Danio rerio: one gene and its partners. The protein of the gene in region 4 purifies or fractionates together with the protein of the main gene of each other region. This does not show direct contact. Links are inferred from orthologs where the notes say so. Each region holds a gene or a part of one and is shown on either strand. Other genes may lie near its edges.

What was found.
Region 1: the proteins of vdac1 (region 4) and uqcrc2b fractionate together in Homo sapiens (co-fractionation; 3 studies listed by BioGRID, with this or other methods). This does not show direct contact. The link is inferred for Danio rerio from reciprocal best matches to the Homo sapiens genes VDAC1 and UQCRC2.
Region 2: the proteins of vdac1 (region 4) and sqstm1 purify together in Homo sapiens (affinity purification with mass spectrometry; 3 studies listed by BioGRID, with this or other methods). This does not show direct contact. The link is inferred for Danio rerio from reciprocal best matches to the Homo sapiens genes VDAC1 and SQSTM1.
Region 3: the proteins of vdac1 (region 4) and rab2a purify together in Homo sapiens (affinity purification with mass spectrometry; 3 studies listed by BioGRID and IntAct, with this or other methods). This does not show direct contact. The link is inferred for Danio rerio from reciprocal best matches to the Homo sapiens genes VDAC1 and RAB2A.

What each region holds. Positions count from the first base shown.
Region 1 is NC_133187.1:10,987,818-10,996,259, reverse strand, and holds the start of uqcrc2b (cytochrome b-c1 complex subunit 2, mitochondrial), read left to right. Parts: upstream 1-3,749; 5' UTR 3,750-3,806; coding exon 3,807-3,839; exon of another isoform or gene 3,840-3,869; intron 3,870-4,278; exon of another isoform or gene 4,279-4,327; intron 4,328-5,700; coding exon 5,701-5,787; intron 5,788-8,442. Other genes in the region: snu13b (SNU13 homolog, small nuclear ribonucleoprotein b (U4/U6.U5)), read right to left, coding at 986-1,106, 1,375-1,377. UniProt on the Homo sapiens protein: Component of the ubiquinol-cytochrome c oxidoreductase, a multisubunit transmembrane complex that is part of the mitochondrial electron transport chain which drives oxidative phosphorylation.
Region 2 is NC_133189.1:19,142,355-19,149,674, forward strand, and holds the end of sqstm1 (sequestosome-1), read left to right. Parts: exon of another isoform or gene 1-110; coding exon 111-206; exon of another isoform or gene 207-2,309; coding exon 2,310-2,641; exon of another isoform or gene 2,642-2,720; coding exon 2,721-2,862; exon of another isoform or gene 2,863-3,315; coding exon 3,316-3,396; exon of another isoform or gene 3,397-3,509; coding exon 3,510-3,688; exon of another isoform or gene 3,689-3,740; intron 3,741-3,798; coding exon 3,799-3,997; intron 3,998-4,096; coding exon 4,097-4,257; 3' UTR 4,258-4,707; downstream 4,708-7,320. Other genes in the region: mrnip (MRN complex-interacting protein), read right to left, coding at 4,861-5,523, 5,678-5,780, 5,884-6,014, 6,278-6,332, 6,875-6,981, 7,099-7,158. UniProt on the Homo sapiens protein: Molecular adapter required for selective macroautophagy (aggrephagy) by acting as a bridge between polyubiquitinated proteins and autophagosomes.
Region 3 is NC_133177.1:25,051,494-25,059,399, forward strand, and holds part of rab2a (ras-related protein Rab-2A), read right to left. Parts: intron 5,294-7,906; coding exon 5,182-5,293; intron 4,312-5,181; coding exon 4,243-4,311; intron 1,155-4,242; coding exon 1,059-1,154; 3' UTR 1-1,058.
Region 4 is NC_133196.1:49,366,823-49,375,240, forward strand, and holds the start of vdac1 (non-selective voltage-gated ion channel VDAC1), read right to left. Parts: upstream 4,766-8,418; 5' UTR 4,695-4,765; intron 1-4,694. UniProt on the Homo sapiens protein: Non-selective voltage-gated ion channel that mediates the transport of anions and cations through the mitochondrion outer membrane and plasma membrane.

The DNA of each region.
Region 1 (8,442 bases), on a different chromosome or scaffold from region 4:
GCTGCTATTTATTTATTTATTAAAATATTGTACATTTACGCAAGTACATTTAAATTTATATTACCAACAGTAAAGTCATTGAGGTGGCCACAAGGTCGAACAGATTACACAGATTACACAGGGGTCGCAGTGACCCCTGGCCACCCCTTGGGGGCGCTCCGATTGGTCAGCTCGACACAGAGGAACAAAAACCTCACTGCCATCTAGCGTTTCGAAAGTGTTATTGCAAACCAACACAAACAGCATAAATGCACGACTACGATCAAGGCATGTGCCGTGGTTCAGGCCGATCACTCAACACAGAAGTATAAACCAGGCTTTAGGCATGAGTTAGTAAATTCCATCACTAAGAGCAGATAAGCGGTTTTCTTTTTTTGCATTCCATAGACGCGCGGATACACGCACGCACGCTCAAATGTTCAATTATTCATTTTTTTAAACATTTTAAATTGAGGATTAAACCGAACGACTTAACACTTCATCAGCTTTAATCAGGTTTTCATTCTTTTTAGGAACCACAAACCCCAAAATGTAATCACCCTAGTATGAAGGACTCCAGTGTTTATACAGTGATGATTTGTTACTAATCATTTACTAATACTAGTATTTTATTTTACTTTATTTGAATATGAGAAGCATTTTTGAATATGAACAATTCACTAAATAATTTTATTAAATGAGTTCATTATTGAATTGTATTAATCGAATCTGCATTTGTTCTCTTGTGTTCTGTTCCACACTGATTAATTTACACTCAAAAATATTTACATAAATTTATTAATTTACTAGACCTCCGTTTGGAAACACCTGGTTGAAGCTATGTGACTTTGCATGTTTGAAATGTGGTTGAGAATTTGAATTGGATTAATTTGTAAGTGTTCAAGTAGCAGTGTTTTAATAATATCTATAACTAGTATCCTAATGTTAGGAGTGAGAAGTATTGTTAGTCTTTTATGGTGAATCTAACATTACACGAGTTATTCACCTTCATTGGCCCCTTTTCTCAGCTGTTTGTAGTTGGACGCCTGCTGCACCAGATCCAGGATGGTTTTGGAAAGCGTGGCGTCTGCCAGAGGATAGGCTTTAGGGTTCACTTCAGCTTCAGTCTGAGTAAAAACCACAGACAAAGGAGTAAAACGATATTAGAAGACACGCATTTACATAAAGACAGCCTAACTCTTATCATCCGGTTAGCAACGTTTGAATTTAGATCTACGACGCAAATGTACAAAACACAAACGCAACGATGCCTTTAAAATATCAAAGTATACATACTTACAGAAGTCAAAATCAAAATGTATAAATGTTGAATTCATTGATAAAAAACACGAGAAACTAGCTAACGTTAACTAAGAAATCCCACGCGATACTCACCATCTTGTTTGTTGTTGTTGTTTCACTCGGTAATTTTACTTAACAACACACGGTCCTCTCGGCTAGAGCTTCACGGAGGACGACACTATTTAACCAAACAGAAAATATAGAAAGTTTAGAAATTATGCAAAAGAAAATCACTCTAATGACCAGCGCAGCTTTGAGATCTTCACCACGAACTGCAGAGGCACACACGTGTTTGTGATCGACACACTGCGCATGCTCACATTGAAAACCACTTCCTGTAGAATTTTTAAAGGGGACTTTGTCGAAACATTTTGTAAAAAGTCCTAAATGCGAAAGTATTTGGTCATTACCTCACAAATTTTTAATTAGTTTAAATATCTTTTAAACCAATTCATAAATTATATCCGGATAAACATTTTCTCAGTATACAAAAAAGATGTTGATATAAATTGCTCTTTTTGTTCTTCGCATTTGGAAACTGTCTGTACCCCACATTATTTGGCACTTCGGTTATGTTAAAAAGCTTTGGTATTATTAAGCTATCTGTCTTTATCAAAAAATGCACTTTTTTTTAATTTGGATTAACGCAATTTTTGGATATTTTTGGATATTTTTGTTATTAATCTATGTATTATGTTGATTAAGTTTCATAATTATAAGTGTAAATAACAACCCCCCCCCCCCCCCCCCCAAAAAAAAAAAAAAAACAGTTTTACTTTGTTTTATAAGGAACTGAAAATTACAGTTTTTCTCGATTGCTTTGATGCAGTTGTCAACTGAAACTCCACCTTTTGAAAACAGTAAACACACAGGCCTAAACAGCGGCACTCATGGTCAAAATGACACATTATGCTTGCAAAAGGCACATATCGTGTCAAAACATTTAAAATATGCAACAAAAGCTAGTTTTACCTTCAAACAACACAACTTGCAAACAGGTATATGAGCTCTTTCAATTAATCATTACACAATGGACAACAAAATACAAAATGCAGAAGTCAGTGCACCACCATTGCTTGCCATTGTAGACTATTGCCAACGTTTGTTGTCTTTCTATTTGGGCTGTCAAATTTACCTTTTTGCAAAGAATTGGATCCAGAATAAGATGTGCTTTGATTAAATTTATATTGAATTCATGACAATTTTCAAACAGTGGCTGAAAACTGTAAAAACAGACAAAAGTAATGAAATACTGTAAATATTAAGGAAAACACATTTAAACCGATTTATAGTCAAATCTATTGGGAGTATAGGACATAGCCACTATTGACCTCCTCCATCCATGCTAGCACTGAAGTACACAAACCTTCCACCGTTTTTAATGTTTGCATTGCTAATTGAAGACTTGTGTGAAGGAGTGTCAAACCAATACTTTAATGAATTCATACTGATCTTGGTAGTTTCTAATGGTTAGGAATAAATGATTTCTGTTTGGTTACCATAGCTAAAACAATGGAGTTAGGACCCCTTGAATGACATCCGTGTTAACTGTTTTGAAAAATGGTGGGGAAAATGTGTCAACCCAATGAGAAAGGGTTTACATATTTGCAAGACCTGTCTTCTGCTCTGCTGGGATAGTGAAAATGAAAATAAAGTCAAACCTAGTTTCTATAACTAGGTCAAAGCAAACAAGAAAAACTGTAACTTTTGTACTACTGGCTTATTGCTAATAGAAAGGCCATCAAAACAACTGTTCGCTTTGTGCTTTAGTTTCAAAATCTTTGAATAATGTAACGTAAAGGTCCTGCTTGTTTGTAATTGTAAGAATTTTATTTGATTATTTATACACATTGTCTGTTTGTTTTATTAATTTTTGTACTTTTATTATTATTTTCATTATTATTTGCATTCCATCACCCTGGCACTATTTTGTTTGCTATATTGTCATGTATGTGTTGTTTAAAGCATAAGAAAAAACTTAAAAAGTAATTTTATATTAATTATTATAATTTTTGTTTGTGATGGTCTGTTGTACATTTTGTCCCTATTAAATAAATGTATTGAAAGCCAATTTGTAAAGTTTAGCTGTGTTGTAAAGTTCAATATTTTGATATTTTTTAAATTCCTTTTTTTCATAAAACAACGTGGTATGTAATGTTAATTTTAAAAGATCATATTTTTATATGGAGTAAAATATTTCAAAAGCACAAGCATTTTTTGATTAGCTCTGTAATATACTATAGTAACATTCCTTATTAGTAAGTGTTTTGAGATCTATGGAAAACTACAAATTAAATTAAACTTATCAAATATTACAACGCAATATTTACATATTCAAATACTACAATGCTGCGTGTACTTTGCGATAGTTCGTAGTCAATCTTCCGAGTCGCCATGTGGCAGTGTGAGTTCACGCTTAACTGTAGTGTGGACATGCTGTAGAAGAGGCAGAGAGTGAAGGATTTTGGGTAGGACATCCTTAGGTCAGCCATATTGCCGTGGTCTGTCTGAAGGAGAGAGAAAATATGAGGGGAATTCGGGGAATAAGCCAGTTATCGGTGAGATTATGATTTACGTGGTTAAAGATGGTTAGTCGAGATTTTGCTGTGTGGTTTTGGATGTTGTTTAATGCTTCAGGTCATATTGAATGGACGCCGGCCTTAACTTTAGTTCACATAACGTTATACAAATATAAGAGAAACGGTTGTCAGTTCAGCTCTCAGTATGTCATATTATTATCCTTTTTAATATAACCATGTTTTAATATACTATTTAAAAATTCTTCATTCTGAAATGTTTAACTTGTAACTTGTATTTGTATAACGTTAAAGATCAAGGACATTGTTTGAGTTTTGTAATGTTTGTTGTCAGTTTGTACAGAATTGATTTCATACTTGTATATAATTTTATCGTATTTTCCATCTTTTATAGATAAAAAAAAAATCAATGTAGTTTTAGTTTTTTCTTTCTTTTCAAATGTTCCCATGGACCCTCTAGCTCTCATTTCCTTATGTGACAACAACACTCAGGTCTGCAGTATGACAATGTAAGTTATTGTATGTATTCAACACAGTGTGTTCTTGAAATGGATGATATCTTAGTTGAGAATTAATTTGTAGATTAATTAAATAATTATCATTTTGAAAAATAGACATCACCAGGTTGTAAATACAAGATGTAGGAAAGGCAACTCAAGACTTTTTCAAACAATTTATAATATAATTTTAGATCTAATAAAATAATAACACATAAGACTGTTTGTAGGTTACAGGAAACACTGCTGTAGAATAAATGTTTGTTTATTATGAAGCATCAAGTACAACAGTAAATGTAAGACTTTAATAAACAGAACAGTAATAAGAAATTGGGAATTAAAAATACAACTAGTTGTCTTTAATATATACATAATACAATTATACATTTAAAAGCACATAATCAAATATTAAACTATTGAACAAATAAAATTCATTTAAATGATTGACACCATTGGTAAATAATAGAAATTAGGGCTGGTTGACTTGCATATGAAGTTGATGCTTATACCTTATTATATTGAACTTTTCATTATTAAATAATTGAAATGAGTTATGATATAATTTTAGACCTTATATAATAGCGTTTATGACTCTTTGTAGATTACCGGAACATGGCAATATAAAAAGACATTTTTGTTAATTATAAATGTAAAAATTAAGAAGAATTAAATAATAAATGAAACAAAAAGTATAATAAATAAAACGTACACAATCTACATAATAAAAGAATACATCATCAAATCAAATAAACTGTTCTGTGCAAATAAATATTCATTCATCATCTAAGTTATTGGAGCCCTTGCCAAATCTTTATAAAGAAGGCTGTGAAAATGGGGACTAAATATATTTAAATATAATACAATGTTGTTGTTGAAATTAACATAATAAATAAATAAATATTACATAGTGATGTAATAAAATGCTGAATCATTTAAATAATTGTGCCCGCTTTATATTTCAGAAGCTTTTTTTGCAGAAAGAGACTTTCCCCAATTTTCGACCATTTAATTCAGTGAAATGTTAGATGTTTATTTGTTTATATTTTCAATCAGAGTTTTTTTTTTTTAAATAAACATTTTATTTATTGTGAAACAATGTCAACAGTTGTGGTTGTTGCTCCGTAACAGTTTTCCTGATCTATTTGTGTGATCAATTAAACACTTTGATATGATGTAATACAATATGTATGTATTTTTACACGCATTTCTGGTGATATGTTATCTACAATCCTGATGCAAACAAAAAAAAGGCTTGTAGCATTGTTATTTAGAATTGTTTGTTCCAATAATGGGTTTACATTGTATACCTCGCTCTGCCTTTGTGTTCGTACTGCTTATTTTGGATGGAATCTTTTGTCAGAGCTATGTCTTTTTTTAATTTTCAGAGAAGGCTTTATGCAGCCCAGGCTGCCCGTAAGGTGGATTTTGCTGCAGCTGGGGAGCCACTAAAGTTTGTGCCACAGGAAGTGCAGGTCAGTAGATGATGATTTGTCTTTTGCTCTACAGCAGGGGTGCTTAACCCTGTTCCTGAAGTTCGACCTTCCTAAAGAGTTCAGCTCGAACCCTGATCAAACACACCTGAATCAATTAATTAGGACCTGAACAGCACTTGATAATTACAGGCAGGTGTGTTTAATATGGGTTACAACGGAAATCTGCAGGAAGGTCGATCTCCAGGAACAGGGTTGGTCACCCCTGCTCTACAAAGATGCTTCAATGCGGCCTCTCAAAGTAACTATCCCTTGACCATCCCTCTGATGGGCATCAAGGTCTCAGCAGGTGCCCCTCACATGTTCCAAGACGTTTATGTTTGTATATTTGTATGGGTACTGGGGAGGGTTTCTGCTCGCATTTTAGAGATTGTGCTTCCTCAGGAATCGTTTTATAGTGTTGTTGATATTAGATAATTATGGTTTTAAATTCCCCATATTTACACCATGTCTTTACTTAATCAAACAGACATATTTCACATTTTCAAGATTTCTATAATCTTAATAAGCACTACGTGATTTTCAGCATATTGTTTTCAGGTAACTGTATATAAAACTTTAGGTTGTTTTCACATGATGTCATTGATGTGTGGAATTCAGATGGAGGGCAGGAAGTGATTCTTCTACATAGGAATCAAAAGGCTTTTACAGAACATCAAACTGTTTCTGTTTTATGTTTATAATTGTTTAACTTGGCCAAAATAAGAAATACTGAACAGATTATATAGACTTCCAAAGGTTTTTGCTCATAAAAGGGGGGGGGATTCAAGAAACTATCTAAATAAAATAGAAGAAAAGACAACATGTATTAAACCCATGTGGACAAACTTTTTTGAACGCAATTATTTGTTTTACAGCACCAGTAATTATATACAAGCTATGTACTAGCTATGTGTTAAATAAAAATCAGATACAAACACCACCACACTTATACTTAATCCAGGAGAATATAAATTACATACCCTCCCATGTAATCGCTACAATGAAATAGCGGCCTTGTTTTGCAGTAATCCATGTTTTTACTGGCATTTCGGTGGAATTAACAACCGTAACGTTAATGTCTATAGGCGCAGCAGCTGTAAAGGTTTGTAAGTTCATCGACAAAACATAAAAGAAATGCTACCTTTGCAACAAAACTAGACGGTTTTTGTTGTGGCACACTTAAACATTTTGTGGCACACAAAATAAATTTATAGTAATGTAGACCATGATGCCCTGCTTTTGTATGCTTATTATCGTGATGTCTGGAAGATATTCGCATGGGGGAAAAAACTACTAATTTGTAATGAACATGTTATTGAACAACTTTTTGTTAATGAATGCTACAGAATACTGTATCACATTAAACTGATAAACTTGTGTAATAAATGATGTTAGTATAAACTAGTGCATTGTGATATTGTGTATAATTATAACGTTGAAAACTGAAACCTATTGAATAAATTGTTTATTATTTGTTTATGAATAAATAATTAGTTACAGTTGTACAGCAACAATATAATTACTATGATAGTTTAATTCAAGTGATTATCTTTAGTATGATTCCAAACACTATAGTATTTACTAGTGTTTTTCAATTAACACAATTATACAGTATCTACTGCCTCGATGGCAGGCTAATATATTTTCGTTCAGTGGAAAACTCTGCCCTCTTCATGATGTAAGGATCATGCCCAACATATGTGGTAATTTTCTATTTAATTCTCCTTTGAAATACGGTATAAATCGCAGAAATATGTAGTTTCCTTTACGTCGCTCATTTAGTTTATTCCTTCCTGCCCTCCATCTGAATTTCGCTTGTTATCAGAACCAAGTGATTGAAAACAACCTGTTAGTGCTGAAAATTTCGCTGTACTGATATCACATTGAGCTTTAACTGAACGAGTGCACAAATATTAAACTTATTTGATTTTATATATGTATATAATTCTAAGAGTTTACATTTTTCATTAATTTGTTATTCATTTTAAATTATATGTAATCTAAATCTCTATAAAAAGGTTTTAAAATATTAGTTTATTGGTAATGTAACTTTTTTCTACAAACCTTCTATATGTTGAGAGTATAAATAAATGTTTTTGGGTAATTCAAACATTTAAATAGCAGTCTAAATAATATTGACATTTATTTAGGTGTTTGGCTAAATTCATATTAGTTTGACCAAAAGTTTGTGCTAATCAAAAACCAAAAACTAACATGAACATCAAATTGAACCTTTAAAACTGAAACTTTTGTTAAAAATTGAAAATTCACAAGAGAAAATAAATTATATATATTTTTAATAATAAAGAAAAAAAATATTTGTAAAAATGATAAATAAAAATGGTCATATGGTTCAATGAGAAATGTTGCCAATAGGTAAAATGAATCATGGTCTCAAATGTGCAAAATGAGATACAGTGCTTCCCACATGTCTGAAATATGCTTGCGCTGGTAGTTCAGGTTACTTTATTGCCATGACATTTAGTACAGTACTGCCAAAGCATTTAAAAGAAGTATAAAATATGTAATCGATTAACATCAACAAAATTTTAACATATACAGCAAATCAAGAATAAATTACAGGAGGAAATTGCATAAAATGAATAAAACATACAAAATCTCAAAATGGATATTTATTAATAATTAATGAAATAA
Region 2 (7,320 bases), on a different chromosome or scaffold from region 4:
AACTTTTGTTATTGTTGTGTGTGGTAATCAACTTTTAATCAGACAAAACATGATGACAATCATAATAACCAGCAGAAATGCCATTCTGTTTTCCTGAACTTTGTCTCTAGATGAAGATGGTGATATGATTGCCTTTTCCTCTGACGATGAGCTAATGATGGGTTTGGCTCTTGTGAAGGATGACACTTTCCGTCTCTTCATCAAGCGTAAGTAACATACACAAACTATAACTACCATTTTAGGAAGGGGTTTCGATTATTTAAGAATATTATGTTATACCTGTAAATATAATTTCCTGCACATATTAAATGATCATTAGACTTAAAGGGATGGTTTAATCAACAATGAAAATGTACTCGCCCACTGAAGTAGTTATAGAATTTCTACATTTTGAAAAAAAAAAAATATATAAGTGCTGTCTGGAATTTCTCAGCCTCTTTTATGTTGAGAATAGTTTCTATAAAAGTGAAATTGCTGAACATACACACAGGAGCCTAATAAAAAATGCTAATTTTAGAGGAAGCTGAAAACCAGTAACCATTGATTTCCATAGTAGGAAAAACCATTTTTTTCTTTAGCTGAAGGGGGAAAAAAGTCAAGGAAGGGTGAATTTTTTTTGGGATGAACCATGTCTTGAATTTGCTTTTGGAATGTATCTGTTGCAACTTTTTATTACTCGCCGCAAACAAACTTTAGTTTGAGTTTAGCATGTTAGATGGTAATTTTAATATCTATGTTTGTTAAAAATAAATATCAAAAAACAAAACGACTGTGTTAAAGGTAGCAGTTAGGCTAGCAATACCTCATAAGGGTCAAAGACGTGGTTTTCATTTCTTTTTCCAGATCTATGAAGTCACTAAAATACTTTAGAAGTTCGCATAGACCGTGGCTTCAGTGTGTGTTTGTCAGGGCTGCATGATGTTAGGGGGAAAATAATCGAATCTAAAATAATCCTGTATAGTATTTATTCTATAAATAAAATACTGTTAACCTTTAATATTTTATTCAACCTAAATTCTGTAAATATGCCTATATTGTTTACAGAGTAACAGGCCTTAAAATCCCATGCAAATTATAAACTTTCACTCGTGATTGTCACGGTTTACAATTAATTCACACATTGTATTTGTTTTGTGATGCCTTTGCTACCGCCTTACTTTAAATCCTGCAGTTTGACTATCGTGAATGTACACACAGTGAAGTGTCAATAATGTGTGGGTGGTGCAACTCTTTGGGACTTTAAGTGTAAATGTAAGCCTAAATAGAATCTACAAATCCATTTTGTTGTCACAAGGAAACCATAAACGGGAATATCAGAGCGAACCTAACAAACAATCATATTTGGCTGCATCCAAAATCACATACTCTCTGTAGGTGGTGCTTTTAATAACTAGCTTCAGGCGTGTTCTATATAGTATGAATGCAATCTGCACCGACTGCATTCACATTATATTTGTGAAGTGACGTAAAGTTACAAAAGACATCTACCAGTTGTGTTGCTCCGCTGCCATTCTCAAAACATTTCCATGATCTCATGGGAAGGTAAATTTTTCCATCTGATGCATTCTTTGGAATATTACTAGATACAGCGAATTCTGGCATGCTACTTTTTGAATGCATCCAAGTTAGTAGGCTTTGAAAACATTGTTGTTGCGTTATGAAGACTAGATTAACTCAGAGCAGTTGGAGTAATTGTATTTGTAATATCAAAGTGTATTCTTCATCCTTAACTTCCATGTGTAAGCGTTCTCTTATTCTCAAGCTGCTGAGACAAACTTACTTAGGAATAGAGAGAAGTCATGAGCTAAGAGCAAAAGGCGTAGTCAACCTTGTTGCTCTGGATGACGTCAGCATCTTTAATAACTATGCAAACAGTGATTGGTTGATGGGGAGTCTATCAGAGATTGATTCAATAAAACTTTGTAGAGAACAATATTTCGTTGCCCTATTCAAATAGGGGGGGGGGGGGTAAATATTTTTGAAAACCTTTTTCTTTCCATAAGGGAATACTAGTGAGGATCTTTTGTGAAGATTTTGATTGGTTCTTGGATTCACTCTTGTTATTTGAGTACTAGAATACTATAAAACTAAAACACCTGCCACTTACATGTGCACAGTTTATAAGGTTGGAAAGATTACATGATTGGAAAGAGCGTCTAATGATGACATTAGATTTAAAGAGTGTGAATACTTTTTCATCTTGGATTCATCATTACGTACTTTGACCATACAAGCCTTTGAATATCTCAGATCTTTTGCAAATAGACATCTTCAATTAATAGCAATTATGTTATTTCCTTCTTTTTCAGAACGAAAAGAGCACAAACGTGATTCTTCTCCTCATGGAATTCCTGGGTTTCCGTTCACTACACCTCACTTTAGCCCTCCTGGTCCCTGTCATATGGGTCCATCTCCAATGGGGCCTCCAGGACCACCTCATATGGGGGGTCCTCCTCACCACCCTCACCCAATGGTGCACCCAGGTGTGACCTGTGACGGGTGTGATGGGCCGGTGGCTGGAACCCGTTACAAGTGCACCGTTTGCCCCGATTATGACTTGTGCCCCACCTGCCAGAGCAAAGGCCTGCACAAGGAGCATGCCCTCCTGCCCATCTTTCATCCTATGGCCAACGTGTTTGAGGTGAATAGCACTATTTTACTACATACAATACACTGCAAATGATCTGAATATTTTGGTTTGATTAATCTTTTGTGTGCAGTGGCTCCCTCGTGGGAAATTTTGGCGTAAGATGAGACACTGCATGTGGGCAAATGCTCAAGCTCAGGCTCAAAACCAGCCTCAGCCAGGTCCATCTGGAGCGCAGCAAAACCAGGATGCTCCTGAAAACCCAAATGAGAATGGTAAGCCAATCATTTAAAAGGGTCTATAGCAGAAGTCAACTCAGCTCCTGGAGGCTGAAGTCCCTCCAGAGATTAGTTCCAACCCTGAAACTGAGTAGGTTGTGTGTTTTTTTATAGAAAGAAGAGTGTTTCTACAGGTGGTTTGTCAATCCCACTCACCTGTGTAAAGCACACTTCAAATGTAAAGTTTTTTTGTAATGTGTCTTATGCAAGTGTCGGTTAAAGTGTCAAAATGATGGAGTGTGATTTCTACAGGTAGTTTTGTCAAGCCCACTTACCTGTGTGAAGCAGGTTTGTTTAATTAGGGTTAAAGTTAAACTTTGTAGAGCTGTGGCCCTCAAAAAACTGAGTTTTACACCCCTGGTCTATTGTAACAGGAGGAACTGGAACAGAATTGGGGCATGTCCAAAATTTTCCTGACTTTATTCTTTTTTTTTAATTATTATTTTATAGGTGCTACTGCCTCTTCTCAGGCTAACGTGGAGTACCTAAAGAACATCGGAGAAGAAGTGGCAGCCATGTTAAGCCCCCTTGGTAAGTCGCCTGCTTTGGTCTTTCCCAAATATTTGGTTCCAACACAATCTGATACTTCTTTGATTGGCATGTTAGGCAAAACCTCTGAAATAAAAGTGATTTTTCCTTTGTAGGCATAGATGTGGACATCGATGTTGAGCATGAGGGAAAGCGGACCAAAGTAACCCCAACTCCTCCTGCCTCCAGTGGACCATCCAGTGCTCGGAGTGACAGTGGTTCTGTGGGGCTTCTTTCTAGAGGCTCTGGTCCAGGAAGTCAGGCCACTGAAGAGAGCGTCAGTGAGGGAACAAAGGTAACAGATACCCTCTTAGCTGTAAAAGGCCTGATCGTCTCAAGTTTTCAACCTAGAAGGAGGCCACATATCATGTTAACGTTTATTCATTCTCTGTTTCAAAATGGCAGAAAGACCAATGTAGTGATGAGGAATGGACTCATCTTAGTGCTAAAGAGGTGGATCCTTCGACAGGAGAGCTGCAGTCTCTTAGACTAGAGCAGGACGGGGCAGATCTTCCAGCTCCACTAAATACTGCTTCTGGCACAAGCACCAGAGACGGTCCCACTGGTCTGCGCGAGGCAGCTCTCTACCCACACCTTCCTCAAGGTAAAGTGTATAATTATTTATGCCCAGTGATGTTCTCTATTCTAGGCTATCACTTTATATCAGTTGAAGCAATTCTAACTTTACTGCGCTCTCCTGCAGATGCAGACCCTAGGCTGGTGGAGTCTCTGTCTCAGATGCTCTCCATGGGTTTCACCGATGAGGGTGGATGGCTAACCAGACTGCTCCACACCAAGAATTACGACATCGGTGGTGCTCTGGACACCATCCAGTACTCCAAAACACCAGGACAACAGAAGTAGAGGTGGAGCACAGGAATACAGAAGACCTGGGCCATACTTAATATTTGAAGCTTCTGGCCTATTTTCTAACTTAGTCTTTCTATACTTTTAAAATGATAAATTTCCACAAATATTAACAATATCAATTACTCAGGTGACTAGTACATAGTTAAGTTCATCATTGGGCTTATATATGCAAAATGTTTGTCTTTAGCTTAACACTTGACATTATAAAGAACATTATTTTCATGTATGCATAATATTACGTAAAGGTTGTTAAGTAGAGATCTATATTTGTGCAACTTCACTTTATGGATTTTCTGTTTGCATAATCAATAAGCAGTTTCTAGATCAAGCATAAACCTGGAGGGTTTGTTAGTTTGAATAAACAGATGGAATCGGATTAATGTCGCTGTTGGTCTTCTAAAATTCCTGTCTTTTCTATCTACAATAAAACACTTCTCTAAAACATTCCTTGTGTTTTGGTGTTTTGGTATTTTGAAATGTACAGGACTAGTTATGAATACAAATGTAGATCAATGCTAATAGTTTAACAATTTATTATTATTTTAAGGAAAATATTACTTTTTTAACATTTTTAACCATCCTTGAAAGCAAACTTACCTAAAATGTGTCATCAAAGTCTTCATCTGTACAAAACAGTGGGTTTAAAGATAAGCTGGAATATGGTGCCTTGACCAGTACGGGTTTACAGACAGCATTTTCAAAGCCTACAGACTTTGTGAAGCTGGTGGTTGGACAGGATACATTTCCACCAACATCCTTCTGTCTGTTTAGAATGCCACTGTCCTTTTCATCTGCTGGACATCGGCGCTCTTCAAAATCCACACCAGTATCTGCTTTTGTGAAATAATGGATCTCAGTTTTCTTACCATTTTGAGATTCATAATCGTACACATCCTTGTCCTGAGTGGGGACGATGGTGAGAAATTTACTCCATTTGGAATCCTTGTTCTCAATTGTAGATTCACCAAATGTCTGATGAGAAGAAACAGAGGGGCTTTCGCTCTGGATGGGAAGGTGTTTGTTTACATCAGCAGTTGGAGGCCTATAGGAAGATTTAATCTGCTGTTTATTTCCAATAGAGTTTTCCATGGTGTTTGTGGAACTGGAGCAAGCTGTAGGGTAATGATCAACAGTCTGTCGGGATGATGGGAGTTTTGTTCTAGCACTTGGTACCACATCATCTGGTCTGTGGCAGTTTGAATATTTGGAAACACTCCCTTTATTCCATGATGAACTGGACCTCTTCTCAAGTTGTAGCGGCTACAGAAGATACAAAAGTGAAATGACTTTTCTATATATTTAATCTAATAATCTTTTTATTCCAGCATTACTGTCAGGTTTGTGCAGCGAGTCTGGACATTTTTCATAATCTCAGCATACAAATCTGTCATTAATATGGATATCTGTGACTTACCAGATGGGCCTGTTTCCTAAACTGGGAATAACCAGATCTTGATTCCTCGTAGTTATCACAATTCCCACCAAAAGGCTCTAAACTGGACATTTTCTTCCTTTTCCTGTTTAAAAAAATAACAACCTTTAACATTGATATTTGCTCAGATGGTTTTCAGTAATGATGCAAGGCAGTATGGATATTGTACTGCTGCCTTTAGAACTAACCTTGTTCCTTGGATTCTGAATTGGGGTCTTTCTGTATAAACATTCTCATCTTCGTCCTCTTCTTCTTCATTTGGACCCTCAGTAGTTTGATCGGTGTATTTGCTCCAGCGGCTGACATGAGCCTCACCTTGCTACATCAAGAATAGGATTATTTATTGTTACACACTGCAGTGTAAAAAGTGATATGACAAATGTTTTAACTTAAAAGTTAATCAGGTTTAAACACTTTTTGTAATAAAAAGTTTGACTTAATATGTTTAGTGAGTTTGATTGATTTTAAGGCAGCAAGATGTTTTTGCAGTGTGCGTACACTTAATGTACACTGTCTTCATTTTACTTCAACATGGTATAACAGTTCAATTGAGCAGTCAAAAAGGTCTGACTCAGCATTTACCTCTGATTTAGGATCCAGAACTTCATAAACATCTTCATTCTCATTCTCTTCATCCCTTAAAATAAAATTGTCAATGGGTCAGTGACATGACATTAACTTGTTCACCTATTCATTTGTTCAGAAATGTATTATATTAAAAATGCCAATTATTCACACAAAGACCTAAATATACATCTAGAAGATTGTTTTGAAATTCTGTATTTTAAAAAATATATACAGTTTTGTAGTTTTTACATACTATATACTAGGGAGTTATATAAAAGTAAGCAAATGTTTATAATATAATACTAATAAACATTATTTGACATTGAAACTACAGCTTTCATTTTTTTTAAATGAGAAATTACTCAGATTAAAGAGATAGTTTAATCATAAACTAAAGTTCTGTCATCCTCCACTTGTTCCAAATCTATAAGAGTTTATTTTTTTCTGTTTGACACAAACGATATTTCGTAGACTGTTGGAAACCTTTAGCCATTTCCTACTATGAAAGTCAATGGCTACTTTTTTAACATTCTCCAAAATATCTCTGCAGTCAATATCTACCTGTTTTCAACATTCTCCAAGATATCTCCTATCTCATTAAGGTTTGCTCACCCCTGTGCTAGCAACTGTTGAGTGTTAAGCTGGTGCTGCTCCCCACGCAGAGCATTGAGCTTCTGAACATGGCGTCTGCAGTCAGCGGCAGCACCACGGCCAAACTCCTGCAAAGAATAAATAAAACAAACAAATGAAAAGAAAAAAAAAAAGCACATCAAACTAACACTAAAATAATTGCCAAGACAAGTGGCAGGTTCAGTTTAGCTTGTTTTCAGCTTTACCTTTATCAGCGACTGCTTTTCACCACACACTTTACAAGTCCATTTTTTAGCCTTTTTCACCTGGAGGAAAAAAAGTTTGTGGTTTAGAATGATAGTACTGGATAAAAAATTCAAAAAATGAATTGATTCAGATTCAGAAGCTCTTCGTTATTAATACTCACTCTTATATCATCCAATCTCCTAAGGCTTTCGTTAATCTTCAAACCACAACTTAAGATATTT
Region 3 (7,906 bases), on a different chromosome or scaffold from region 4:
GTCTGTCTAATGGATAAGTGAGTCTAGCGTTATCATATGCAATATGCGATTGCACGTCAATCACTGAAATGATCCTGCGGAACATGAATATGTTATTTCTGTTGACGTCCCAAAATCCTTTTAAGGCAAACAGCAGATCTAGTTCTGGAGAGGTGATCCATAACTGGAGCCATGATTTTTAGAACACAGGTAAACACAAATTTGGCATTAAAATAGGTATATAGAGCCATAGTTTCTATACAGAGAGGAGGTTCGGAGGGGGCACGAATACGAGGGGTCAAGGCAGATGGCAGGACCAAACTAAAACAAATGAAGTAAAAGATTACCTTAAAATGGTGTCAAAGCAGGTTTTTGGAAATATCGCAATACTGTTGCAGTTTTTCAAGCTCTATTCATACAGTATAGAATTTAAGCAAATTCATTACAGAATTCTAGCTCGGTCAACGTACACCAAAGCAAGAAATGATAACTATATATACAGAATGTGAATGATAAATACAGATTTAAAACAGTCCTGCTTCTTTTTCTTCACTTTGATAACACCCGTTCCTTTTTTATTAGATTTTTTTAGACCAGCTCTACGATCCTTTTTATTTTGACTTCAGGGTTTACCACAGTTTTCATTGAGATCACCCACATCAACTGATTAAAATACTATAGATGACTTTGTAGTGTTTAATACAGTTCAAACGGGCAAAAAACAAAAACAAACAAAACAAACAACTTGCTGAAAAAAAACAAAAAACAAACATGAATAGATTTACCATATTAACTCCAAAGCTCCTGCCTTTTTCCTTACTAGTAACCATATAATGTCTGCTGCAGCCCAAACAGGCTTCAGGAGTTTGTCAGGAGGTTTGAAGAGGACCTGGACTTTATAAATATACTTGTTTTTTTTTTTTTGTCGTTTTTGTTTTTGGACAGCCATCTAATATATGATCTGAATCCGGGGCCTGGGCTGTGGGAGGTTAAGAAAATGTTAGTGAGCCCGACCAGTCCAGTAGAAACGTAAGGGGCGGAGGGAGACGTGGAGGAGACTGGAGGGTAAAGGCCAGAGCTCAGCAACAGCCCCCTCCGGCTTGCTGTCCTCCCTGACTGCCGCCCATCGTGGAGTTGGTGGCAGCATGCTGGGGTCCAATCTTAATGCCGTTAGCCTGCGCACACAAATAAAAATCACACTTCAACACTCTGCTCCATTTCAGAAGACAAGACCTCACAAAAGTAAAAAGAGCTCGTGTGAAAGCATGGTGATTCTGTACTGTCACATAACGCTGTATTAAGCAGAAAATACCAGCCCCTGTAGGCCTGAATTAGTGGGCTGCTTTTGTCAGCGCTGAGGCGGGAGAACCTCTGGAGTGTTATTCCAGCAGCTACACAGGGAAACCTGCCAGAGCTTTAAAAACACACGCACGCACACCCAAGCTGGTGGCACTTTCATTCATCACACAAAAGGCAACCACCGAGCCAACTTTTCCCTTAAGCGGGCTCGCGATCAAAACCGGCACGTCGTAGCGAGGTTGTGCTTTTGTAACATTCTCAGGAAACTCCACGTTGCGCCAAATCTGATTTATAGTGATCTGGGGTGAGCTCACATGCGAGTCTTCAGGTTCCTGGCCAGGATCTGTATCAGCTGATGCGGTTTGGACCGTGTGCCTTAACTGATTTTTTTTTTACTTTTCCAACTACCGCAATAAAATAGCTGCAGTGGCCTCACCTCCATCAAACCGGCTGTAACTTACAAGAAGTGAGGAATTTATGTCTTGGCCAGCAGCCAATGGAGAGAAACTGAAGGGCCGGAGGGCTTGTGTGGAGCTTCTCCTCTGGAGAACATCTGCGTCCATGATCCTTCTGCTACCTCTCTTTTCAGTTGTACATTAATATCGCTGTCAAAACGGTCACCACTATTACAGTCCCAAACATTTTAATCAACTGTTACAATGCCTGCATCACATGCAAACCAGTACAATAATATCAGCTACACTCCATTGGATATTACATGAAAATTTGCATAGATTTAAGGATGCACAATGTGGCTGCTGTGAGAAAACGTCACCAGAGTACAAAGGGTATCAACCATCTAATGTGAGGCCTAATTTGTTAACCTACTTCGAAGATGTAAATAATTAAAGTGTCTGACATACGAGTAGCAGATGTTTACCATAAAATGAAAGCTGTATTAAAGTAATTTTGTCTAAAATTAAATGTTTTTAATTAATGTAATGTAGAGTGCTTTTATAGTGGGATTTAGGGTTGCACTGTTTACCGGTACTATGGTAGTATCGCGATACTAAGGCTCCAAAATACTGGGGTGCAGCAGTAGTTTGTTAACGGTAGTATCGCCATTATCTGTCAATTTACAATAGATATTGCTGCATGTGGAAAAGTCACTAAAATGCTCACATGTTCGTGCAACAATGGACCACTTTGTTTTAATGGTGTCTGGAACCCTTTAAGGTTGATTGTTTTGTGATGTTTCGAACACATATCTGAATCGGTTCATTTCTGTTCCTTTCAATATGATTTAGTAGCTACAACAAACGAGACAATCTCTTAAAAAGAAACCACTCGCAAAGTGAATTTTTCAATGACTCGTCATCTAATAAGACAGACCAAAAAAAAAAAAAAAGGATGGAAAAAATCCAAAATAGCAACAGGAAATTTTGAAACTATTTTTGACCATTTCATATAGCCTAGTAGTGTTGTAAAAATGATCTTTTTGTAACTAATTTCATTTGGTATAATTTGTATCTTTATTCTAAATGTATTTGTTTGTCAGTTATCTAAAAAAATAACTTGGTCAGTTTGTTCAATTTAATTTACATTGCATCTACATGCCAACTAATTCTCAATCGATTATAAGTAGACCGTTATGGTTAGGGTTAGTGCAAGTTGACATACTTGCAAAGTTTCTTATGGTCAGGTAAATGTCTGTTGAAGGAGCAGTATCAGCAGATATTGAGCAGGCAGTCTACTAATACTCAAATGGACCATCAAAATTAAGTGTTACCAAAAAAAAGGAATACATTTTAGGTGAAGTTAAATGCAAATAATACTTTTTTTCAATAATAAAGGAATTATGAACCAACTTTAAGTAGGCCTATCACAACATATAAATATAGTATTTCTGACAATTACCTTTATAATTAGAGTTATGAATTACAGTAACGCAATACTACTTGGTATCATGATACTTCAGCTGGTATAGTATCGTAACAAGAATTAATAGTATCGCGACAACCCTAGTGGGATTGTTTTAGATCTAGTAGCCATGTAACTAGTAATATCCATAAAAAGAGAATTAACTCTGGCTTCAATCTTCCACAAGAGGTACAGGTTAAAAATTTATTTGTTAACCACTAGTGCAACAGAACATATAAACAACATACGTATGTGCACATTTTCAATGCCGCTAGTGTCTCCAAACTGAATAAATAAGGAAAGAAATGTATACAAAAAAAAATGGGGAAAAAAGTTTGGACCAACAATTGGCTTTATGCACAGCTAGAGTTTTAAAGCCAATGATAAAAGCTTAATGTGACTATTTTCAATTTCACAAGCTTGTTTTTACAGCATCAATGTTGTAATGTAATTATAATACACTTAGTTAAAAAGACTTAAGCATTTATTTAGTTGTTCAAGCGTTAAATAAGATGAAAGACTGTTGTATCTGCTAGCGCTGCCAGTATCAACAGAATAGAGCAGAAACTCCATTAAAAATACTGGGGTAAAATAAACGGTCATATTTTAAAGACATGGCGGGGAAAATGAAATTGAATGCAGTGCTTCTTGTACAATGAGTCCCATTTCTTCGTACATCTAACAGGCAGTGAAGATCGCTGATTTTTAAAGAAATCAGATTATAACCGTGACAATTTTGTGATGGAAAGACAGTTCACAGGAAGTCATTATGCCAACCCCAAATGGACTCCATTGGTTAATCTGGTTAAAACCACTGTCTACCTGTTTCTTTTTACCTTTGTAGAACTTTTTTGAAGAACTTTTTTTCTATTATCTTAGTCTAATAAAACAGTTAAAAAGTATTTTACAAATGAAAAAAAGTTTATCTTTCCTAAATAGGTTTCTAAAGGCATCTAAAACTAAAATCAATATGCTGAGAGTTTCTAAATCCACCCACAAGACCATGCACAACAGATTTCACAGTAATGCAACAGGAAGTCCTCTTGACCCATTTATTTTTAACCTGTAATAACAAACAATGTGCTTCATTGTTATATAGGTTACCTCGTTGTTTATATCAAAGACTCCCTCCTGGATCTTTTCATAAATCTCCTTAGCTGTGTTGATAAATGCCTGAAACGCACACAAAAAGAGATATTTTATCCACAAAACAAGATAAACTCACTGCAACACTGGACACAAAACAATACCTCACGCAATCAATGTGGCTCATGAATAAATGAGTGAAATAAAATAGATTGGAAAAACTCTGCAAGTCCAAACCGTCAGGATTTCTCACAGCTGAAGGCTGGTGCCCCCATCTGGCTGAAAGCGATGATGACGGTCTACTATTTCTCCAATCAAACACACACACACTGGTCACCCGTTGAAAAGAAACATGGCCGTGTGCGCGGATCACCTTTAAAGTGCTAAGACCTGCCACTGGCACTTTGTAGCCTAATTAACAGAGCTGCTTTGCTTTTTTTGGTGCAACTGCCTCTCTGCTCTCCAGAGCAATCAGTCCTCTGCGGCTCAATTACCACCGGGAGAGAAAACCATGGCTGAGCAAGCGCTGCAGATGTGTGCGCTGTATCATCCGATGTGTGTGTGTGTGTGTGTGTGTGGCAGGGAATCTATGAATATGCATGAACCCTAAATAGGAGATTGAAACGTCATAAAGGGGTGGGGGGAAGGGTCAGGAGAATTCACACGACACTAATGAGACAAATTAATCATTGAGGCGACTTTGGGTGGGTGGTTGGATGGATGGATGGGGGAGGGACTTCCTCAATTTAACACCCCGCCACCCCATCTTTTTAAAGCCATCCCTAAGCCCTGCTTTAGCTTCTTGGCTTCTGCCGCAGAGATCCCAGTGTTTTTCTCCCCAGTCTGCATGTCCCTAGGGTGTTATCTATATGTGTGTGTGTGTTTTCACACGGGAACCCAAACATAAATCACGACACAGGCACTGGAGACTGGGGAGTCACACAGGTGGTGTTTTACCTCTTCTACGTTTGATGCGGTCTTTGCAGAAGTCTCCATGAAGATCAAGCCATGTTCTCTGGCAAAGGCCTCTCCTTCCTCTTTCTTCACCTCTCTCCGTGACTCCAAATCACTGGCATTGGAAAAAAGCAGATTGGTTTTTAATTGCTAGATTATTGAAATATGACTGAAATATGTAAACTGGTCCTTAAAAAAATGGGACAGGGGATTTTTTTTTTAAATGGTTGTTTTAAATTTGCCATATCAAAAGATGAGCAACTGAATTACAGTTTCCACAAAAATATTCAGCAACAGATTCTTTAGTACACTATATATATATATATATATATATATATATATATATATATATATATATATATATATATATATATATAAACTAACAACATTGGGCTGCACAATATTGGCCAAATCTGACATTGTGATAGGACTGGGCCGATAAACGATATTATATTGAATCGCGATAAAATTTGTCAATGACAATAATACGCTCTGGACTTTTTAACTCTATATTGATCTAAGAGCCAATCATACAGCAGAAATGTGTAACAATGGAAATCTAGAAGTGTGTCAATATTAGAGATGCACCAAACTTTCGGGCACAGAAAAATTATCGGGCGAAAATACGTTATGCCATTTAATGGACCATCTAATTTTGTGGCTTCAGTCATTGCAGGGGTACAACACACACAACTTATATCGAAATATATATCGTTATTGTTCAATATGAATGATGATAATTAAGAATGCATTTTTGCCATATTGCACAGCCCTATATTGTGATATTTATTTTCTGCGATAAATATTGAAATGTAAATTAGGGTTGAGCGATGTCGACCAAGTTAGCATCATACGTTGTATAATGTGAAACATCACGATGGCATCATCGTCATAGGTGGAGGTGAATACATTTTTTATGAATAATTAATTGATTCATAACGAGTTAATTATTTCGAGCCAACATTTTCAACTACCTGACCCGCATGGTCTTTGTTTTATCCATAAACAAATCATAAATAAATCAAATTTTAACACTAAGACGTTTAGTGTTAATGGCCTAAGTGTGTATATTTTTGCAAGCATGTTTGCGACAGAGGCGGGGCAGAGGATCGGTGATGCCGGCTCAGCATTGTGTTGTCTATTGGCTATCGGCGATGGACGATGGCATGGTCTATTGGCCCAACCCTAATGTAAATACAGTTTCACAAGATAGTTGAATAGTATCTTGTATTCTGGTACAGAAATTGAATAAATCGCAGTGCAAAAAAAATAAATAAATAAAAAATAAAAATAAAAAAGCTTTTCTTTGTCTAATTTCTAGTCCAAATACCTACAAAAATATCTTAGATCAAGTAAAAATATTGTTTTGTTTAAAAATTGAGATGAAATAAAGGCAATATTAAGAGTTTTTCCTTAAAACAAGCAAAATGATCTGCCAGCGGGGTAAGTAAATAATCTTGTGGTTTGAAGTGTAGAATTTGGATAACACTTTAGTTTAGGTCACAATTCATGCTATTAACTGCTGGCTTATTACCTGCCTATTATGATGATATTAACTGTTCATTAGTAGTTATAAAGTATAATCTGATTCTAATCCTACCTAAACCCAAACCAAACCTCTACCTTACTGACTATTAATAAACGGCTAATTAGTAGTTTATTAGGTTAGTAGTGTTAGTTAAAGGTTTGTTAATAGGAACAAAGAAAAAAATTCAAAGCAAGCAAAACATTTTTTGTTTTTGTTGCATAAATTTAAATACAGTGATTTAATACAATTCTGTAGCTCCTGGTCAACTAAATAATTGGTTCAATTGTGTTTAATCAGGGTTGTAGTTAAACTCTGCAAACAGATAATGCCGCAGTCACAGAGTTTGAGCATGCAAAATTCTGTCATACGGCGCTGCGAAAAGGGCCATGATTAAACAAAATGATTAGACATTTAAAAAGGGAGCGATTGGTCTGTATTTTACATTTTTGTCCAGAGAGTTTATGCTTTGAACTTCGATTGGTCTCATGCAGTCATGTGACACGATTTCACAAGTCAGAGTTCACCTAGCTTTAACTTTCCAACGCAGCAAACTGCGAAACTTATCACACGAGCTTGCGTTTCCGGTCTGTCGCATTCGCATTCGTATGAACAGAAGTCTATAGGGCGAAAAGTGCAGTGTGACCGCAGGTTAAATCTTCAGGAACAAAGGACCCTGTGTTAGATAGTAGTGTAGTGCAAGGTGGTAATGTAAATAAACTCAAACAGCATTTCCTACATAGCAACCCTATGCTAAATAGCTAACACTATTATCCAAGACAACGAATCTAGTAATGTTTAGCCACTTGGCATCAACAGCATTAGCCAATAATGCTAATAATCCTAATCATCCCCATATCATAATTGGCTTCACCACTCTGTCTCCTTTCCACCTATTAGCTGATGCGTGGTGTGCGGTCTAACAAAATATGGCTGCCGTCGCGTCATCCAGATGGATGCTGCACACTGGTGGTGGATGAGGAGATTCCCCTCATTGTGTAAAGCTCTTTGAGTGTCCAGAAAAGCGTTATATAAATGTTAGGAATTATTATTATTATTAATAATAATGATGCTTGTTTGAAAGTTGTAATAAATCTGCTATCTGTCAATGTTTATTAAAGAGAAGACAATGTATCTGTAGCTATAATAATTAATAATTCAATGTGTAATTAATAGAATTAAGACTATGCACATTTTTTTTGC
Region 4 (8,418 bases):
GTTCCTTCGACCCATCTGTAAAGATTTGTAATACAGAATAATAATTCTGTTGGATATATTCTTGAACTAATAATTTAGTTGGAATAATTATCTCCTTGTTTTGAATTCTTTCATGAATTTGCAGATCTACTACTGGCATAGGAAACACCCATGGGGGAATTGTTGGTATAACGACAGATGGAGCAACTTCCAGATCTTTCCATTCTAAACTGTTTATTTCCTTTCTTACTACCCAACCAAAACTTGCTATTTCTTTGTACACATACTCCCAGCAATCTTTTAAAAGACATCTAACAGGATGGTTTTCCAAATGACCTTTTATTCCTATCCAATATCTCATTCTCAGCTGAGACATTCGATGTTCTAATGGCATCTCTCCCATTTCAACTTGTAATGATGCCACTGGAGAGGATCTAAAAGCACCACAACATATCCTCAGAGCTTGATTTTGTATGACCTCTATTTTTTTAATCAATGTTTTATTAGTAGAACTATACACCATACACCCATAGTCAATGTTTGACCTTATCACAGCATTATAAATTCTTTTTAATGCTGTACTACTGGCACCCCACTCAACTCCAGCCAAACACCTTAATACATTTATTCCTTTTTTACATTTTTCAATTAATTTCTCAATATGAATTTTAAATGTTAATTTATTATCCATCCATAAACCTAAAAATCTGATTACATTTACTTGCCCTAACCGCGTTTCATACATTTTGATGTTTAATACTGGATTGCTTTTTTTTTTCGAGAAGCATATTACTTGCGTTTTTTCAACAGAAAACCGAAAGCCCCATTTATTAGCCCAACTCTCAACTTTATTCACTGCTATTTGCATTTTATTTTCTACAAATGTTACATTTCGTCCTCTTTTCCATATCGCTCCATCATCCGCGTACAGTGATCTTCCTATTCCTGATTCTATATTTTGAAAGATGTCATTTATCATTATGTTAAACAGAATTGGGCTACTCACACTTCCTTGAGGTGTGCCGTTCTCAATTGGAAGAATCTTAGACAATGCAGTCCCTACTCTTACTTGAATCGTTCTACCAAATAAAAAACTCAGAATCCAATTGTACATTCTCCCATCTATTCCCATGTTTTCCAATTTTAAGAGAAGACCTTCTTTCCACAACATATCATAAGCTTTTTCCACATCGAAAAACACTCCCACAAGTACCTCTTTCCCTATTTGTGCCTTTCGAATTTCATTTTCTAAACACAAGATTGAGTCCATTGTGTTTCTTCCTTTTCTGAATCCGCTTTGACATGCTGAAAAAATGTTTCTACTTTCTAATACAAAAACCAATCTATCCATAACCATCCGTTCCATAATTTTGCATAAATTTGATGTCAGTGCAATAGGTCTATAACTAGTTGGCTGAGAATGATCTTTTCCAGGTTTGGCTATTGGCACTATAACCCCATGTTTCCAATCTACTGGCAAACTTCCTTTCACCCAAATTTTGTTAAACAAAATCAAAATGGTGTTCAAAGATACATCTGACAGATGTTTAATCATCTCATAACATATGTCATCTTTTCCCGGAGAAGTATGTTTAACCCCTGAAATAGCTCTTTTTAACTCATATAATGTGAACTCTGAGTCTAATAAACTTCCTGATGTATCCTTCTTTTCATATATATGAGATTTTTCCCTAATTTTCTGTTCCCTGATTTTTCTCATGTTATCTGAAATATTTTCATTACTATGAATTTTTGCAAATGATTCCACCAACATTTCTGCTTTATCATCATTATTAACTGCTATTTTTCCATTACTAATTAAAACAGGAATGTTATTATTTTTCTGAATTCCTCCCATCCTTCTGATCATATTCCAAACTTCATTAATTTCAATTTCCTCCCCTATTCTATTACAGAATTCTCTCCAGTAAAGTCTTTTTGCTTTTCTTATTTCTCTCCTAACTATTGCCTGAGCTTTCTTATAATTAATAAAATCCTTGAACAATACTGATCTCCTGGCTTTCTTCATTGCTTTATTTCTCTCCCTAACTGCATTACTACATTCTTTATTCCACCACGGAACTGCTTTTTTATTGTTTACATTTTTCTTTTTACCAATAACTTCCTCTGCAGTTTTTCTTAATATTTCACTTATTTTTTCATTTAACTCTTCTATGTTATCATTGTCATTGACCATTTCCCACATTTTATCATGACATACATCTCTAAAGAGCTCCCAGTTAGCATCGTTAAATTTCCATCTTAAAATTCTCTCTATCGGAGTGTTGATGATGTCCACCCCAATTTTACACCATATTGGATAGTGATCACTTCCCAAGGTACTGTGTTTATATATTTTCCACTCACATTTCCTAGCTAATTCTCCTGTCACAAGGGTAATATCTAAAACTGATTTACGTCCCTGAGACAAATCAACTCTTGTGTAACACCCATTATTCATACATACTAATTGTCCCCAATCTAACATTTCTTCCACTATCAATCCGTTACTGTCCGATTTATCACTTCCCCATAAAGTATTGTGAGCATTAAAATCACCACACCATACTACTTTCTGACTAATGTTACCTCTTATGACTTCTAATTTTTCTTTACATAATTTTTCACATGGATTGTAAAAATTTATTACCTTAATATTACAACACCCTTCCCAAACTTCTATTGAAACCACCTCCTGATCCACCACCACCTCAACATTCCTATATCCTACACCTTGTTTAATAAAAGTAGCAACTCCACCTCCATTACCTTGTTTTCTATCCTTCCGAGTAACCACATACCCTTGTAGTACAAAATCTAACTGTGGTTTAAGCCATGTTTCCTGTACACATATTATATCTGGTTTGTTTTCTAAATTGGAAATTACTTTTTTAAATTCTTGCCCATTAGCTATTAAGCTTCTCGCGTTCCACTGTAATATTAATAACATTATTAAGGGCCACCACATACTTGCTGAGAGGATGGAATCTGCATCTTTAATTTCTCATTTATCAAATCCACTGAGATACCCTCAATCTCTAGATACTTTTCTGCTGCTTTAATTATTATTCTGATTCTCTCAGTCCTACTTTCTGTCTGAGCTGAACAGTTCACTACTTCAGCCATAAAAGTAATAAATGCAGCATTTCCCTTGATCTCTAATCTCTCTTTCTTATTTTCTTTATCCATTTCCGACTTCTGTTGAATGATTTCTTTGCTTTTGTTACCTATTTCTACATTCTTTCCAACTTTTTTTAAGGCCTCTGAGTATGACATTCCTTCTTGAATTCTAACATTTTGTACTTGAGCCGCATGTTTCCTCACTTTGCATCCTCCATATCCCGCACTGTGCTCTCCTCCACAGTTACAACATTTGGGACTAACTCCTTGACCACATTTACCATACTCATGCTCCCCTCCGCATTTAGCACATCTCTGCTTGCCTCTGCATACTGCTGCCACATGTCCATATTTTTGGCATTTATAACACCTTAAAGGGGGAGGTACATAAAGCCTCACAGAATAACTCACAAATCCCAGATATACTTTACTTGGCAGTTTGTCTTCATTAAAGTGAATCATTACTGAAAGACTATCTCCCCTTTCACCATTTCTGGTGCATTTAAGTCTTTTCACATCCATTACAGCTGCACCTGTAAGACCTCGTTTGATTTTTTCAACTGTAACATCGGTAGGGATGCCAGTGATTACTCCTTTAACCCATTTCTTTTCTTCTTGTACATTACAAGTCACCTTTTGCCCCATGATAGATTTAATTTCTACAGCCTTTTTTTGTTGTCTGCTGTCCTTACAGTATATTAACAGCCTGCCGTCTCTCAATTTTTTAACACTTTCTACCAATCCTATCTCTTCCTTGATTGTTTTAGACATCTTCAGCGGATTGATAAAGCTAAATGAACCACAATCGAGTTTCATCACTACCTTAAACTCTTCTTTCCTTCGTCTTGTCTGATGCATTCCGTTCTCACTGTCAGTCTCAGATGTATTACTCCAGCTTCTGTTTCTTTTCCGTTTTTCTACTGTAATCCATTCATTTTTCGAATTTCCCACTTCATCTGCGTCCGACATTTCTTCCTCCATTTCCGGAATGCTTCCGGAATCTAAGCTACCTCCTACCATGCACTCTCCAGTCACAGATCAGCTGTTGCCAAACCGCCCGCTTCCGCGCACTCCCTGAACTCTCACGTCCTATGTGAAGGATCGTTCACTTGTCCCGCCAACAATGACTATCCCTGACACACACATTATTCATTCACGCGAATATCTCTACACACACGCGCGCGCAAACGTGCAGAGATGACCAGGGGCAGCCAGTGCGCATGCCCGCGGCTCAATGGCGCAGCTTTAGGCCACTGCTGTATCAGAGGACGAGCACAAAATCACTCAATATACAGAACATTTCTCCCTCAACGCGATCTCAATGATCAGCTCCTGCACTCAGAGTGTAAATGCAGCGGATGAACTCAATAAAAGTCCTCTGACAGATAACCGATGGACGGGCGCGTGCATTTCAGCAGGCCGTGCTCTCCTCAGTGATGCTCACCCAGATATATACACACAAATATAGATCTGCATGTGTATATACATCTGTATGAGTGATAAACTGCTCTTCAGGTTCACTGTATGAGCAGAATAAGCCTTCACTCTGCTGCAGATTCAGTGTAATGCTGGATAAAGTGTAGATGTGGACTCACCTCTGTGTGGATGGAGAGGACAGCAGCTCAGCCGACAGTGGAGAGGAGAGACGTGCGCGCGCACACGCCGGAGTGACGCAAGAGCGCCGCGCACGCAGACACTGCGTCATCACGGCAGATTCACAGCAGCTGAGCATCATCATTGTAAGCAAAATATATATTAAAAAGGTTTTTGGTTTGTGTTATGAGCTCAATTTCTCCCCCATAAAGCAGTTTTGTGGAATAATTCTCATAATACTGTTAACCAGAAATCTCTCTATCTGCAAAACTGGACAGATTAAGGTATTTTTTCTTTTCTGATATTTTAGACCAATCAGCTAATTTACTATCTTGCAAAAATGTTATGGAATGATTGTCATCCCCTATTAAATTTAAATTATATAACCCCGTAACAAAAGCCATTCCCTCTGGTTTGCTAATGCTAATTTGAAGTCAAATGTCCTCATATAGAACTAATAGAACTGATCCTGTACTATACTTAAACGGAGTAAACTTTTGTAGTAAAAAAATGTTCAAACAAAGTTATTAGATAAATATTTTTTTTAAACAGAGCCTTAATTTAATTTATTTATTTATTTAGTTATTTATTTATTTTTGGAGTGTTTGTTTTGGGGGTGATGCAGTGGCGCAGTAGGTAGAGCTGTCACCTCACAGCAAAATGTTCACTGGTTCGAGCCTTGGCTCAGTTGGCGTTTCTGTGTGGAGTTTGCATGTTCTCCCTGCGTTCGTGTGGGTTTCCTCCGGGTGCTCCGGTTTCCCCCACAGTCCAAACACATGCAGTACAGGTGAATTGGGTAGGCTAAATTGTCCGTAGTGTATGAATGTGTGTGTGAGTGGATGTTTCGGCTGGAAGGGCATCCGCTGCGTAAAAACTTGATAAGTGGATAAGTTGGTGGTTCATTCCACTGTGGCTACCCCGGATTAATAAAGGGACTAAGCCGACAAGAAAATGAATGAATGAATGTTTGTTTGTTTTGAAGATATTGTGTGAGAAAAAAAGGTTAGTTGAATGCTTTTCGTCTGCATATGTAATACACATAGGGAACTACATTAACAAATTTACACAATGCAGACTGATGGAAATTGTTCATTCTGTATAATTTTTATGAATGTCAGCATTCAAAGTTTTGGAAAGACTTATCATTATATGTCCAAAAACTCAGGTTTTAGATGTAATTTGACCCCCAAATATGTTACTTTTTATTTTGCTTCAAACAATTTATCTGTGGAATTTATAATAAATATTTAGATTTTATTTGGTAAATTCATTAATGCAGATTGAATAACTTTAAACCTTGTTTAAAGGATTCTATTAGAGATTTTCATTTGTATACTCGCTCCAATATATTAAAAATGTCAAGATACATTTATAGTAGCAAAGGAAAAGGAGCTGAAGTTAACTGAATAGTAAACTTGCAGTCAAGTGGGTGGGTTACGTTATAATAATTTTGCAAAGGTTTCTATGTTGAAGCTGTGTTTTTATTTATTTTATGTAATTTATATTTTAGTTTATTTTATGCTGTTAGTTACTTTTGTATTTTTTGGATGTCGTGTTTAAGTTGTATATTTGGTTTTGGTTTGTAAATTTACATTTATGCATGTACAATTTTGTGACTAATATAAGAATATTAAGAACTTTAAGTAAAGGCTCTGTTTTGCAATTAACAAAACCAAACAAAACATTTTCCCACAGTAAATGAAAGTCTTTATCAACATTCTCAATGACAAAAGGGGAAAAACCTTTCCAAAGCAAAATAGAACAACTGCATTGCAGAATAAATGAGCCATGGGGTGTGGAGGAGCAGGAGTGCCAGTTAGAAATAAGATGAAGGTCAAATTTAATAATTCAAGCATAAAAAGTAAATAAATCACAATTAAAATCAACAAATAATGGACCAACAAACACAGTGTTGCTTACAAAAGGAGCAGTTTGTGTTGAAATCTGTTTTGTATTTTATTAAGAGTACAGACTGGATGTGTACGATGGATAATTCTCAATGTTTTTATCATATATGTGTAACCCCCGCCGGTTCTATATCACCCAACCTGCTCCGACCTGGTATCGAACCGGCGACCAACCGCATGGCTGTCGGCTGCTCTAACAAGGAGGCTAAAGACCATAGCCTCTAGCTACTGTCGCTAGAGCACCTTTAGAGGTCAGAGGAGTGAGGTTCACCTGCACAGCATTTACTAGCTGTCCTCCGTTACATTTGTAATTAAGCAGCTATTTTAAAATCAGCCATATTGTTTCCAGTGAACATCAGGAGCAAAAGAGTTCCAATAAAAATAACATTGAAACTATTTCTTACTCTGTTACAGAAAATTAGAGAGGGGTCTGGCTGCAGACCTGGTCCAGATGCAATCTGGGCTGCATCCAGTGCTTTTTAAAGGGCTCGCCTAACCCCACCCCTAACCCTCCTCCTCACAGTGATGTCACTCGCTCCATTTGAGTGCATTGTGTCTGGCATTGCATCGCTGAGTGATGCGATGTCAGCTCGCATCATAAAGGCTGCATCCAGATACTATTACACTTTTATATTCGTTAATGTGCGATGATGTATATACCCCTTCTGTATATCTTATTTATTTATTTATTTATTTGTTTTCATTTCAACCCAGTCTCATTCTGAAAACATACCTCTATATACATTTCTGGAGAGCACCGAATTCGTTCCAGGAGCTACATTTTTTTGCTTATTTTTTTTTTTTTTGCATTTGTTTTCGTGAAACCACCAGTATAAGGGTGTACCCACACTATGAACCGTGCCCATGCCTGTCTCCCGGATAGTTTAAGAAGTGTGAGTGTGCTGAATCGGGCTCAGGCACGGTTCACTTGGCCGGCCCTGGCCCGGTTGGAAGAGATGTGCCAGAGCGTGGTTCTCTTGGGCTTTGGTGCGGTACGCTTGTGTGTGAGTGCAAAGCGCGCCTGAGCCCGAAACTGAAAGCGAGACTCTAGGGACTGCTTCATATGGATTTATTAATCATTCTTACTGTTCAATGAACACAAATTGTCGTAGTTTATTAAAGACGTAAACCCCTCTCTGCACCATAGCTGCGCCTTCAGCAGACCTCCTCATTCCTGCAGCAGCAGGACTTCATGATTGTTTATGTGACGAGCAGCTCACAGTGGCATATTTGTGCTAAACCTCCAGACCAAGTTTATGTTAGTCTGTCGAGTCAGTAACAAACGGCACAGTATGGAATGACTAATCATATGAATAACAGCGTAAATACTCGGTTTATACACGTTCAACGCCTATAAGTGGTCATGATGTGTTTATGTCTGGTCTGAAAACACACATGCTCTCTCTCGCTCACCCAAACACCCCCACAAAATCACACAATGTGTGTGTGTGTGTGTGTGTGTGTGTGTGTGTGTGTGTGTGTGCGTGTGTGTGTGTGTGTGATGGTGAAAATAGCATTTTGGCGCCACTGTAAGGCTGAATCTTGTAAGGGGAGGAGCTGATGATGAAGAGGAGGAGCTGATGATTAAGGGGAGGAGCTGATGATGAAGAGGAGGAGCTGATGATTAAGGGGAGGAGCTGATGGTGAAGGGGAGGAGCTAATGATTAAGGGGAGGAGCTGATGATGAAGGGGAGGAGCTGATGATAAAGAGTAGAAGCTGTTGATGAAGAGGAGGAGCTGATCACTAAGGGGAGGTGCTGATTATGAAGAGGAGGTGCTGATGATTAAGGGGAGGAGCTGATGATGAAGAGGAGGAGCT